Linked DNA regions of Saccharomyces cerevisiae S288C. The gene in region 1 interacts genetically with each later gene. Each region holds a gene or a part of one and is shown on either strand. Other genes may lie near its edges.

The links.
Region 2: mutations in RHO4 (region 1) and MEI4 together harm fitness more than expected from each alone (negative genetic interaction), as found in Saccharomyces cerevisiae (2 studies listed by BioGRID).

Annotation. Positions count from the first base shown.
Region 1 is NC_001143.9:546,568-552,093, forward strand, and holds RHO4 (Rho family GTPase RHO4), read left to right. Parts: upstream 1-1,648; coding exon 1,649-2,524; downstream 2,525-5,526. Other genes in the region: DYN1 (dynein heavy chain), read right to left, coding at 1-1,358; TRM2 (tRNA (uracil(54)-C(5))-methyltransferase), read left to right, coding at 2,881-4,800; 40S ribosomal protein eS21 RPS21A, read left to right, coding at 5,090-5,113, 5,436-5,526. UniProt on the Saccharomyces cerevisiae protein: Plays an important role in cell growth. Required to keep the uninucleated state. May be involved in the organization of the cytoskeleton which affects microtubule functions.
Region 2 is NC_001137.3:235,528-241,293, forward strand, and holds MEI4 (Mei4p), read right to left. Parts: upstream 4,248-5,766; coding exon 4,185-4,247; intron 4,097-4,184; coding exon 2,933-4,096; downstream 1-2,932. Other genes in the region: SAH1 (adenosylhomocysteinase), read right to left, coding at 243-1,592; ERG28 (Erg28p), read right to left, coding at 2,043-2,489; ACA1 (Aca1p), read right to left, coding at 4,505-5,766. UniProt on the Saccharomyces cerevisiae protein: Required for meiotic induction of recombination, viable spore production and chromosome synapsis. Component of the MER2-MEI4-REC114 complex which seems to be required for meiotic double-strand break (DSB) formation.

The DNA of each region.
Region 1 (5,526 bases):
GTTTCTGCCAATGAAAAAAATCGCTTGCGTGTGCTTAAAATTTCATCCAAAGTAGCCTTTACGGATGCACTTGTAAATGTTAGCTTTTGTATAAGTAGCTCCTGTGGTGCTCTTTTCCTAAGATCCTCTCTTATTAAAAGATTGACATCCTGGACAATATCATCCCATTCTTCTATCATGCCTGCTGATTTTTCATATAAACCCAAAAAAGAACCATACTCTAGCTGAAATAAATCTGAAAGATTACTTAGAATTGCATCCATGACTTCTTGTGAAATTTTGTCCATCAGCACAACAAATCTTTGAACTGGATAACCTGAATATCTGAACTTCTTCAAAGAAGATGCTAAAACAGGAAATAGTTCCTGCAAGTCCTCAAGATTGCTTGCCTGGCGAACCTCATCGATAGGGATTGACGATAGAAATTGGTTATATTTATCCGCTAGCTTAAATTTATCTGAAAGTGAACCTTCATTCAATAAATTTGTTAAATTATGAAATCTCTTTGCGTTTGTTAGAACGGATAGACACACCTGAAATTCTTGGCTTTGTGTTTGTTCAATTAACGACTTCAGTACTTCGTAGAAATTCGACCAAAACTCAACTTCGTCTAAAAAAGAACCATTTTTTATATCTCTGTCAATGGCTAATGTTTGTTTAAGAACCAAAAACCATTTGTTTGCAATGCTTTGTAAAATGTTCAAAAATCTCATACTTTCCAAATCATTACTAGGAAGGTAGTTTGCATAATCATGTGAAGTAGCCCCTTTTGATACAGCCAATTTGATAATGCTAGGGACCATCGCTAAAAGATCTGGCGTTTCAATTGAGGTATGTAACTGTTGAAATTGTTTAGAAATGTCGTCAAGTTTCCTCCTCGTTTTATCTATAGTTTCGACAGAATATGTCTTTGTATCTGATTTTATCAATTGGCCAAACACAGACGATACGCCATGTGTGATAATTGAGGCCAGGTTCCCCGCATTTACTGGACCAGGTAAGTATATGGCACTTATTTGTGTTGCAATCGGTTCTGCATCCACAATAACACTTCTAGATTTAATAATTAATAGAGTAGAATACTTTTTATTCGCCAAGTTGGCATCATATATAGCCTCTTCACCAATGTCTATTGTAACTATTGTTCTATCCAGCTCTTCAAAAAGGAAGACAAACAACGTGTCGAACTCTCTCCCATCCAATAATCCCAAAAAAAATTGAAACCGTTCAAGGTATTGACAATGTAGATAATCAATGAATGCTTGCTCATTCTCTTTGGGAGAATTCTTTATACCCGTTACAGTAGCTGCAACAAATTCTATCAGCTCATTAGCAAGTCTTGCCTCATTCTTGCACATTGCCTAAAAAACGTTTTGACGTACTTTCCAATTTAAGCTCTGAACGAGTATTATTGCCCTTCTATGTTCTATGCTTTCTGTTAATTTTTATATGTAATGTTTGTTTACCTTTCATTAGCTTATTTATTAGAATCCGTACAATGCGACCTTCCGCGCATCAATTCGGGATGATCTGATTAAGTAGTTATAGCCTTACGTTAAGACGACAAAAGACATGATAAGCATCCCTCAAAAGTTACAGCAAACTTAAGTCAAATAGGTCCAAAAATCTCCAATAGTAACGCTTTTTCATGAATACACTATTATTTAAGCGAAAAGGTGGCAATTGTGGGAACGAAAGTAACATAGTTTCGCAGGGATCGCCCTCAAGTAGCAATCTTCCTGAATCACCTGGCACTTTAGATGAAAAGAATCTTCCCAGATTGCCTACTCCATTCGCTAGAAGCCTTTCTACCATTCCTAGTTATGAGCAGATGAAACGTACAAACAAACTGCCAGATTATCACCTAAAGATTGTTGTTGTGGGAGATGGCGCTGTAGGGAAGACGTGCCTGCTGATATCTTATGTCCAAGGAACATTTCCGACTGATTATATTCCTACTATTTTCGAAAATTATGTCACAAACATAGAAGGACCCAACGGTCAAATTATAGAATTGGCATTATGGGACACTGCCGGCCAAGAAGAGTATAGTAGACTTAGACCGCTTTCATATACGAATGCAGATGTGCTGATGGTGTGCTATTCTGTTGGTAGTAAGACATCGCTTAAAAATGTGGAAGATCTCTGGTTCCCAGAGGTTAAGCATTTTTGTCCTTCCACTCCAATCATGCTAGTCGGCCTTAAATCAGATCTATATGAAGCTGATAACCTTTCAGATCTGGTGGAACCAAGTTCAGCAGAATCCTTGGCCAAGCGTCTGGGGGCATTTGCACATATTCAATGCTCAGCACGATTGAAAGAAAATATCGATGAAGTATTTGAAACTGCCATACACACGTTACTTTCCGATTCATTATATGCTCCCAGAGAGCCTACACATACAATCAAAAATCCCTTTAAAAGAAATACCACCAGATCAGATATCGATTCTTCTACTGGAGATACCAGCGTCTCTATTTCCGGAACGAAAAGATTAAGAAAAAACAAGTGTATTATAATGTAAGAATAATGATGAAGATTATTCTGTTGCCCATTCTGTACGCACTTACAACATTTGAAAAGTGGCAAGAAAAAATACACACATTTTACTATCTTCCGCTATCTTATTTATCAAGACGAAACAATTAGAACCTGATTTAATTTAACTTCCATTTTTCTGAATCTGGTGTGATATACCGCTCCAATATATTCGAATTTATCCCAATTTTATCATAATAATTCATTTTAATTCGATGTCATAAAGTACTAATTCGATATTAATCTAGCCTAATTACATTAAATACTTAATAAAAGCTTCTGTGACATAAAAGTACAAATCTGTCATTTTATTTTAGAGGAATAGTTTAGGACAAAGTCATTATGTACGAACAGTTTGAATTTTCTTTTTTTTTCTTCGAAAATTCAGACAATAAGGTTAAATATAAAGCTCATCTCATCTCATCGATAAAACGCTGGAGTATTATCACATGCATGCGTTGCTTTTGGACCGTACAGAAGTCTATATTTAAAGCTAGGTTTTTCGCTTGCAGAAACTTTGTCAAGAAGCATAATTATAAACTAATCAGCACCATGACTGGAAGTACTGAAATGGTACCACCAACAATGAAACATACCGTTGACAACAAAAGGCTTTCGTCTCCTTTGACAGATTCTGGTAACCGCCGGACTAAGAAGCCAAAGTTGAGAAAGTACAAGGCCAAAAAGGTTGAAACAACTTCTCCGATGGGTGTCCTAGAATTTGAAGTGAACGATTTGTTAAAATCTCAAAATTTGTCCAGGGAGCAGGTTCTGAACGATGTTACTTCAATTCTAAATGATAAGTCCTCAACAGATGGACCTATCGTCTTACAATATCACCGAGAGGTAAAAAATGTCAAGGTCTTAGAAATTACTTCCAATGGCAACGGGTTGGCTTTGATCGATAATCCTGTTGAAACAGAAAAGAAGCAAGTTGTTATCATACCGTTTGGCCTGCCCGGTGATGTAGTTAATATCAAAGTCTTTAAGACCCACCCTTACTATGTCGAGAGTGATTTATTAGACGTAGTGGAAAAATCTCCAATGAGAAGAGATGATTTAATTAGGGATAAATATTTCGGGAAATCTTCAGGAAGTCAATTAGAGTTCTTAACTTACGATGACCAACTAGAATTGAAAAGAAAAACAATTATGAATGCCTACAAGTTCTTCGCACCAAGGTTAGTTGCTGAAAAACTTTTACCCCCATTTGACACCACCGTAGCTTCCCCTTTACAATTTGGCTACAGGACCAAAATTACGCCTCATTTCGATATGCCAAAAAGAAAACAAAAGGAACTATCAGTAAGGCCTCCTTTAGGATTTGGTCAAAAGGGTAGACCTCAATGGAGAAAAGATACTTTGGATATCGGCGGACATGGTTCGATATTAGATATCGATGAATGTGTGCTTGCAACTGAAGTTCTCAACAAAGGATTGACTAATGAAAGAAGAAAGTTTGAGCAAGAGTTTAAAAACTACAAAAAAGGCGCGACTATTTTACTGAGAGAGAATACCACTATTTTAGACCCTTCCAAACCAACTTTAGAACAGTTAACCGAAGAAGCCTCTAGGGATGAAAATGGTGATATAAGTTATGTCGAAGTCGAAGACAAAAAGAACAATGTCAGGCTGGCTAAAACTTGCGTTACCAATCCTAGACAAATTGTCACTGAATATGTTGATGGATATACTTTTAATTTTAGTGCGGGTGAGTTTTTTCAAAATAATAACTCTATCCTGCCAATAGTGACCAAGTATGTCCGTGATAACTTGCAAGCTCCCGCTAAAGGTGATGATAATAAAACAAAGTTTCTAGTAGATGCTTATTGTGGATCAGGTCTTTTCAGTATATGCAGCTCCAAGGGCGTAGATAAAGTGATTGGTGTAGAAATTTCCGCTGACAGTGTCTCTTTTGCAGAAAAAAATGCAAAGGCAAATGGTGTTGAAAACTGTAGATTCATCGTTGGAAAGGCTGAGAAACTCTTTGAGTCTATTGATACTCCAAGTGAAAACACTTCCGTTATCTTGGATCCACCACGCAAGGGCTGTGACGAATTATTCCTAAAGCAATTAGCCGCATATAATCCAGCCAAGATTATTTACATATCGTGTAATGTCCATTCCCAGGCACGTGATGTCGAGTACTTCCTCAAAGAAACAGAAAACGGTTCCGCCCACCAGATTGAAAGCATAAGAGGATTTGATTTCTTTCCACAAACGCACCACGTTGAGAGTGTGTGTATAATGAAGAGAATCTAATTGCACATATAAAATATCTATCACTATGTATATCTTTCTAGAGTAAATGTCTTCCTGTACTTTTAAATCCGTACATTTTGAAAATTGAAAATGTATCTCAGATTCATTTTTCAATTCGAAATGAACGAAAATTACACTAAAAAGGTAACGTGTAGAGTGATATTATGCACAACGATTTTTTGAAAATTTCATATACGTTATTCTAATGTTTAGTAGAGAGTTTAGCGGAAGATATAAGGTGATCAGGCGTAAATTAACCACATACAAACCATAGAAACATCATACCAAAATGGAAAACGATAAGGGCCAATTAGTATGTTCGAGAAATCTATAAGATTTTTTATATTTTAACGGATGAATGGAAAGTGCATGGCTGTTTAAATAAATGTAAGAAAGATATCATAATGCAAACAAAACGTAGGCATCCGCAATGTATGGAAAACATACTTATGGTTACCGATAATAAGCAACTCCGAAGGTGCCATAGACCAGCTCTGAATGCAGCCTACAAAAGTTGAGCAATTTCTGACAAAATTCTTCGATTACTTTCTTCACATGTATTAAATCATCACTCACCACCACCAACAATGTGTTTTTTAAACTAGCATAACTAACAAAGATTTGTTTTACATCAGGTCGAACTTTACGTTCCAAGAAAATGTTCTGCTACCAACAGAATCATCAAGGCTGATGACCACGCATCTGTTCAAATCAACGTCGCTAAGG
Region 2 (5,766 bases), on another chromosome or scaffold:
GTCAAGTGCATGAATGAAATATTTACTGTTGAAGAATTTATTATATATATAGGTATACAGGATCTATCTTTTCGATAACGTAACTTAGTATCACATGTATTAGTATTAATACTGTGATAGGATTGTTAGCTGTTGTTTTTATATTTGCAATTTATTTATGATCTTTTTTGATGATCAAACCGTTGAGTTTTTGAACATTAAAAAATAGTGAGAAAGAAGAACTGAAATGGGAATTGAATTGATCAATATCTGTAGTGGTCGGCCTTGAATGGACCTTCTTCTGGAATACCCAAGTATTCAGATTGGACTTTACTCAATTTAGTCAATCTAACACCCAAGTTGCCCAAGTGGAACTTAGCGACAGCTTCATCCAAGATCTTTGGCAAAACGTGGACACCAACTTCGAATGGGCCTGTCTTTTGGAATTCAATGTGCTTTTCTCTGAAAGACTTATCGTTAGACTTGAACAAAGCAATTTGAGCTAAGACTTGGTTAGAGAAGGAACAAGACATAACGAAAGATGAGTGACCAGTAGCACAACCCAAGTTAACTAATCTACCGTTAGCCAACAAGATGACGTGTCTACCAGAAGACAACAAGTAACGGTCGACTTGTGGTTTGATGTTAATACATTCTTTAGCGTTAGCCTTTAACCAGGCGACATCAATTTCGATATCGAAATGGCCAATGTTACAAACAATGGCATCTTCTGGCATGTTGATGAAATGTTCACCGTTGATAATATCTCTACAACCAGTGGTGGTAACGAAAACTTGACCAATGTGGGATGCATCTTCCATGGTAACAACTTGGTAGCCTTCCATGGCAGCTTGTAAAGCGTTGATTGGGTCAATTTCGGTAACCAAGACACGAGCACCCATTCCTCTTAAGGCAGCAGCACAACCCTTACCGACATCACCGTAACCAGCAACAACGGCAACCTTACCAGCCAACATGACATCAGTGGCTCTCTTAATACCGTCGACTAAGGATTCTCTACAGCCGTACAAGTTGTCAAACTTGGACTTAGTGACGGAGTCGTTAACGTTAATGGCAGGAACCTTTAACTTGCCTTCTTTGACCATTCTGTATAAGTGGTGAACACCGGTGGTAGTTTCTTCGGAAAGACCAAAGCAGTCTTCCAGCATTTCAGGGTGCTTTTCATGAACTAAAGTGGTTAAATCACCACCATCATCTAAGATCAAGTTCAATTTCTTGTTGTCCTTGAAGGCAAACAATTGTTGTTCAATACACCACAAATACTCTTCTTCAGTTTCACCCTTCCAGGCAAAAACTGGAACACCGGAAGCGGCAATAGCAGCGGCGGCATGATCTTGAGTCGAATAGATGTTACAAGAGGACCAGGTAACTTCGGCACCCAAAGCAACTAAAGTTTCAATTAAAACAGCAGTTTGAATGGTCATGTGCAAACAACCAGCAATACGGGCGCCTTTCAAAGGTTGGACGTCACCGTAAGCCTTTCTGATGGCCATCAAACCTGGCATTTCATGTTCAGCCAATTCGATTTCCTTTCTACCGAAGGCAGCCAAAGAGATATCAGCGATTTTGTAGTTTTGAGCTGGAGCAGACATTGGGAATTGTTCTTTTTGTCAGTTGGGTTATTTCGAGGAGAAGAGGATTTTCAGAAAGAAAGAAAAACAAATAGGAATGGAATCATGGAGTTAATAAACCACGTTACTAAATAAGAGATTGGAAAATCTAAAATACGGCTTCGAGGTCGTTTAATTTTCTTTTTCCTCTGAAAATTTTCTTTCTTTTTCGGCCTTAGCCTGTGAAAATTTCGGCCGAAAAAAAAGCCAACGAGATCACGTGCACAGAAATATCTGCGTTAGAGGAGAGAGGTAGGGATACTTACAGAAATGAAGCCAAATTGGCAGCTTTTTGAGAAATAATCATGAATGATAAACAATTGCTGTTAAATAATGTACGGAAGGTTTGGATAAAGGTTGCTATAGGCATTATATAAATAAATCATCTCTATATAATTTTTTTTACAGGATATGCTTGCCCTTACATCAGAATTACCAAGCAACACCAGTGTAGTATTCTCTTTGTTTGTACATCCAAACCAAAGAGGTGGTTGAGACAACCAATGGACCCATGAATCCCTTTCCCAACTTACAAGTTCTAAAGATCAATAATTCAGAGCCGAAGTGGAATAGGGCAACCATATAAGACATGAAGACCAATTCGAAAATGTGTGGTTCATTCAAGTACATAGCCCCATAGAATCTGATAACACAGGAAATAAAGGTCCAAGTACCGAAAGTTCTTGCACTCAAATGGGTTGTTTCAGTGGGTTTTCTTTCGTAGACTTTACGTGTCAATTCTAAACCAGAAACGTAAGTCTGGATAGAATTGAAGACTGATACAATGGAAATGAAAAGTAACCATTTTGGTAAGTAACCTTTTGGCATTGCTGCCAAGGTGGTCTTGGTTGTAGTTATTACGTCTTGTAGGCTGAACATTATCTGATACTTTAGTGTATTTGAATCCTTCGATACTATGGTCTAGCTAGTGTCAAGAATATAAAAACCTGAAATTAGTCAATGCGTTTACGTCAAAAATAGTAGCAATAGTAAAGCAAAACAACAGGCTTGTTCAGCTTAGTTTTATATACGGGGGTAGAGAATACAATGGATCGTACCTTTTTTTTTGTTTCCTGTTCGTTCCGTCCCCGAACGAAAAAATCATAAAATAGAAGTTTCCTATCGGTAATACCGTAAAGTTTAATTCAGTTCGTATAAGATTAGGTTAATCATGGGCAAGTCCGGAAGAAGCGTTTTAATGTAGGTCTGTTGGGGAAGATGTTGTGTTCACTGTAATTTTCAACTGAAGTTGTTGTCCCCGAAATGAAAGAGCTTTCGATATTTTTGTGTTTTATAATGCGCCTCCTACTGCAAAAGAAAAATTAAATGTTTTCTGTCTCATTGAACCATCTTGACAATCGAAAGCGCGCTATCAAATTTCTTTCGGCAGTAATTAATAAGGCCGCCTGTATATATTTCCTTTTCTTCTGAAGCGATATTTCATGAGCCGGAAATTTTTCCAGGAAAGGTTTTAAGTGCTGCCATTCAATGCTTTCAAATGTCTCGAGCAATGATAGAATAACTATCTTGAGTATTTTCAATAGACCCCCTAACTCTTTTTCTGGGACACCGCTTATTACACTGTAAAAGTTCTTTAAGTAGGTTTTCTTCAAACTCAATTCTCTTTCGAGGTATACTCGACAGTACGCCTTTTTCCGGTTGATGCATATTAGTTTATGCTTCGATACAAATCTAATAAGTACATGTATCAGACTTTCGATGATGATAAGTATGTGTTCAATTAATTTCAGAACAGATACGTATTTTAATATCTGCGGTTCAAATGTTTGGTTTGTCTTGATTTTGATGAGTTGAATGTTAATAATAGAGTAAATAAGGGTAAAATGCAACGAACACAAGCGCTTGTAGTCAACTTTATCACATAAATGTTTGCCATCTCCCTGGTCGTAAAAGTTTTGAAGCCATTTTGGATCGTTTTGGTTCTTCTTCAATAAAATTCTATTAAACAGAAACTTGGCGATGAAATTGAAAACATGAACGTCTATCAGTGTCCTCTTAAAAGAAGAATCAGAATCTATGCGATGCGAATAATGAGAAACTAACAAGATTTGGAGTGTTTGAAACACTTGCGATAACCCTCTAAAGTCAATTTCTTTTGTTTTTAAGCTCAGGATTTTTAGCAGAATTTTATATCTCGGTAAAAACCAGTTGTTTATATCAGCAGTTGATACATCTTTGCTAAATGATTGCAGCTCCTTTAAACCAACTGCATCTTCGAAGCTTTTGTACTTATTCTGGCAAAGGAAATTGTATATAGGTTCCAGATGAGCAAACAGTGATTTATTATTCAAAAATCCATTTTCGAAAGGCGCAACCCATTTGTATATATGTTTTGAGTTTTCCCGAGGATTTATTTTTAAATTTTTTTCACTCTTGAGAGCACCTACATCTTCGACATCTCCTTTCTTTCTTGAAAGTGCCCTCTTCCACAACGTAGGATTCCTGGATTGAATTAAAGCAAAACACTGTCATAGATAATATTCGAGGAGATTACACCTCTTACTAAAAGTTAGTAAAGAGAAAATAGGTTAAGGATGTGACAATTTCACGTACGATTATCCAGTCAACTTCCGATGTTTCCTTTTGTTCCATATCTTCCAGTTTGCCTCTACTCATGTCCTTACTCTTCTAAAAGATTATTTAATGAAACTGTTTCACAACTACAAGATGTTTGTTATGTTTTCTTTTACAAGTCGGAAACATTTAGCCGCCCAGCAATATATATGACTCCGAAAGAAAATGAAAGGAAATACATACATAGTAAAATAAATCGTTTAAACATAAATAATCGTACAGAGGAAAACATTAAGGAAGGAGAGTCAAACTAATGTACTGGGAATTTGGATCTCCCATAAGAAGTATGCGCAATACTTTTATTCATCATATAGACTGGAGCTGCGTATCATTTCTTCAATCATTTTCAGAAACCCGTTAACATCACTATCCTTGTTTTGAAGGCTTTGATAACTATTATTACCACCATTAATTGTGCATTCTTGCATGTGCAACCTCGAAATTTTCTTCATTTTTTGAACCAATTTTTCGTAATTTTCAATTTTTTTCTTCATCATTGTGTTTTCTTTGCTTATTTGGTCAAATTCCCTTTGAAGTTGTAATTGTGACATTTTCTTTCTCTGTCGACACTTGGAAGCGGCAATTCTGTTTCGTTCTAGTAGCCTTGCACGCTTCCAAGCTTTAGCACCGTCTTTCAAGCCTGCAGTATTGTTCTCTATTTTTTGGGGTCTAGCTTCCTGCTTTATTTGGAAGGTTGCTGTAGTGTGCATAGAGGAGAAGGGCGCGGTATGTACGTCTTTCTCACTATTAATATTGTTTTTCAGTGCAGAAGTGGCATCCTTGTATTGTGGTTTTGAGTTGGCATGTGTTAAATTGACATCAGGGCATTTCGATTCGTATGGAAGGCTGCTTGAAATATTCAACTCGGCATTTTGGCAGGAATTATTAACAGTGTGGTGATTAACGCCATGGGAAATTGAAGAATGGACGGATTGATTTTCGATATTATGATCATTAATGTTTTGGCAGGAAGAAGAAGAGGAAACGGAAGAATTAGAGGCTGGAGTACATGGATGCACATTCAATTGAGCGTTTTTCCATGCCTTAGTTTGCATTTGAGCTTGTAATCGGAGTTGCATGTTGATGTAAGCCTGATTCATTGTGGAATCGCCAGATGGGATAGAAGGCGTGGCAGAAGGAATGTCACAAGTGGCTGCTACTGCGGGTATGTTAAGCTTTATATTGCTATCATACGGGGTCATTGCAGCGTAGATATTCTTGCTACCTGTTTGAGGTGCAGCTTCGGGTATGACTGTAGCTTGTTCGTGTGGTTGTGGCACGTTTTGCAATTCGTTCGAGCTAAAGCTTGGGTATATGGCTGCGCTTGGATTTGCCACCTGTTGAGGATTGGGATTCTGTTGCGCCTTAGACGATAGGATCGGAGGCTGACAGTTGTAAAGATTTTCAACCGTTTCTAAGTCTTCGCCTAATTGACTAATCTGACCATTGGAGATAGATATGCGTCTTTTGTACACGGGCTGATCAAACGCTGGTAAAGAACTTTGAAAAATGGGAGGGTTGGTAATGGGAAGATGGCTGATGTCGACGCCAAAGGGTTGAA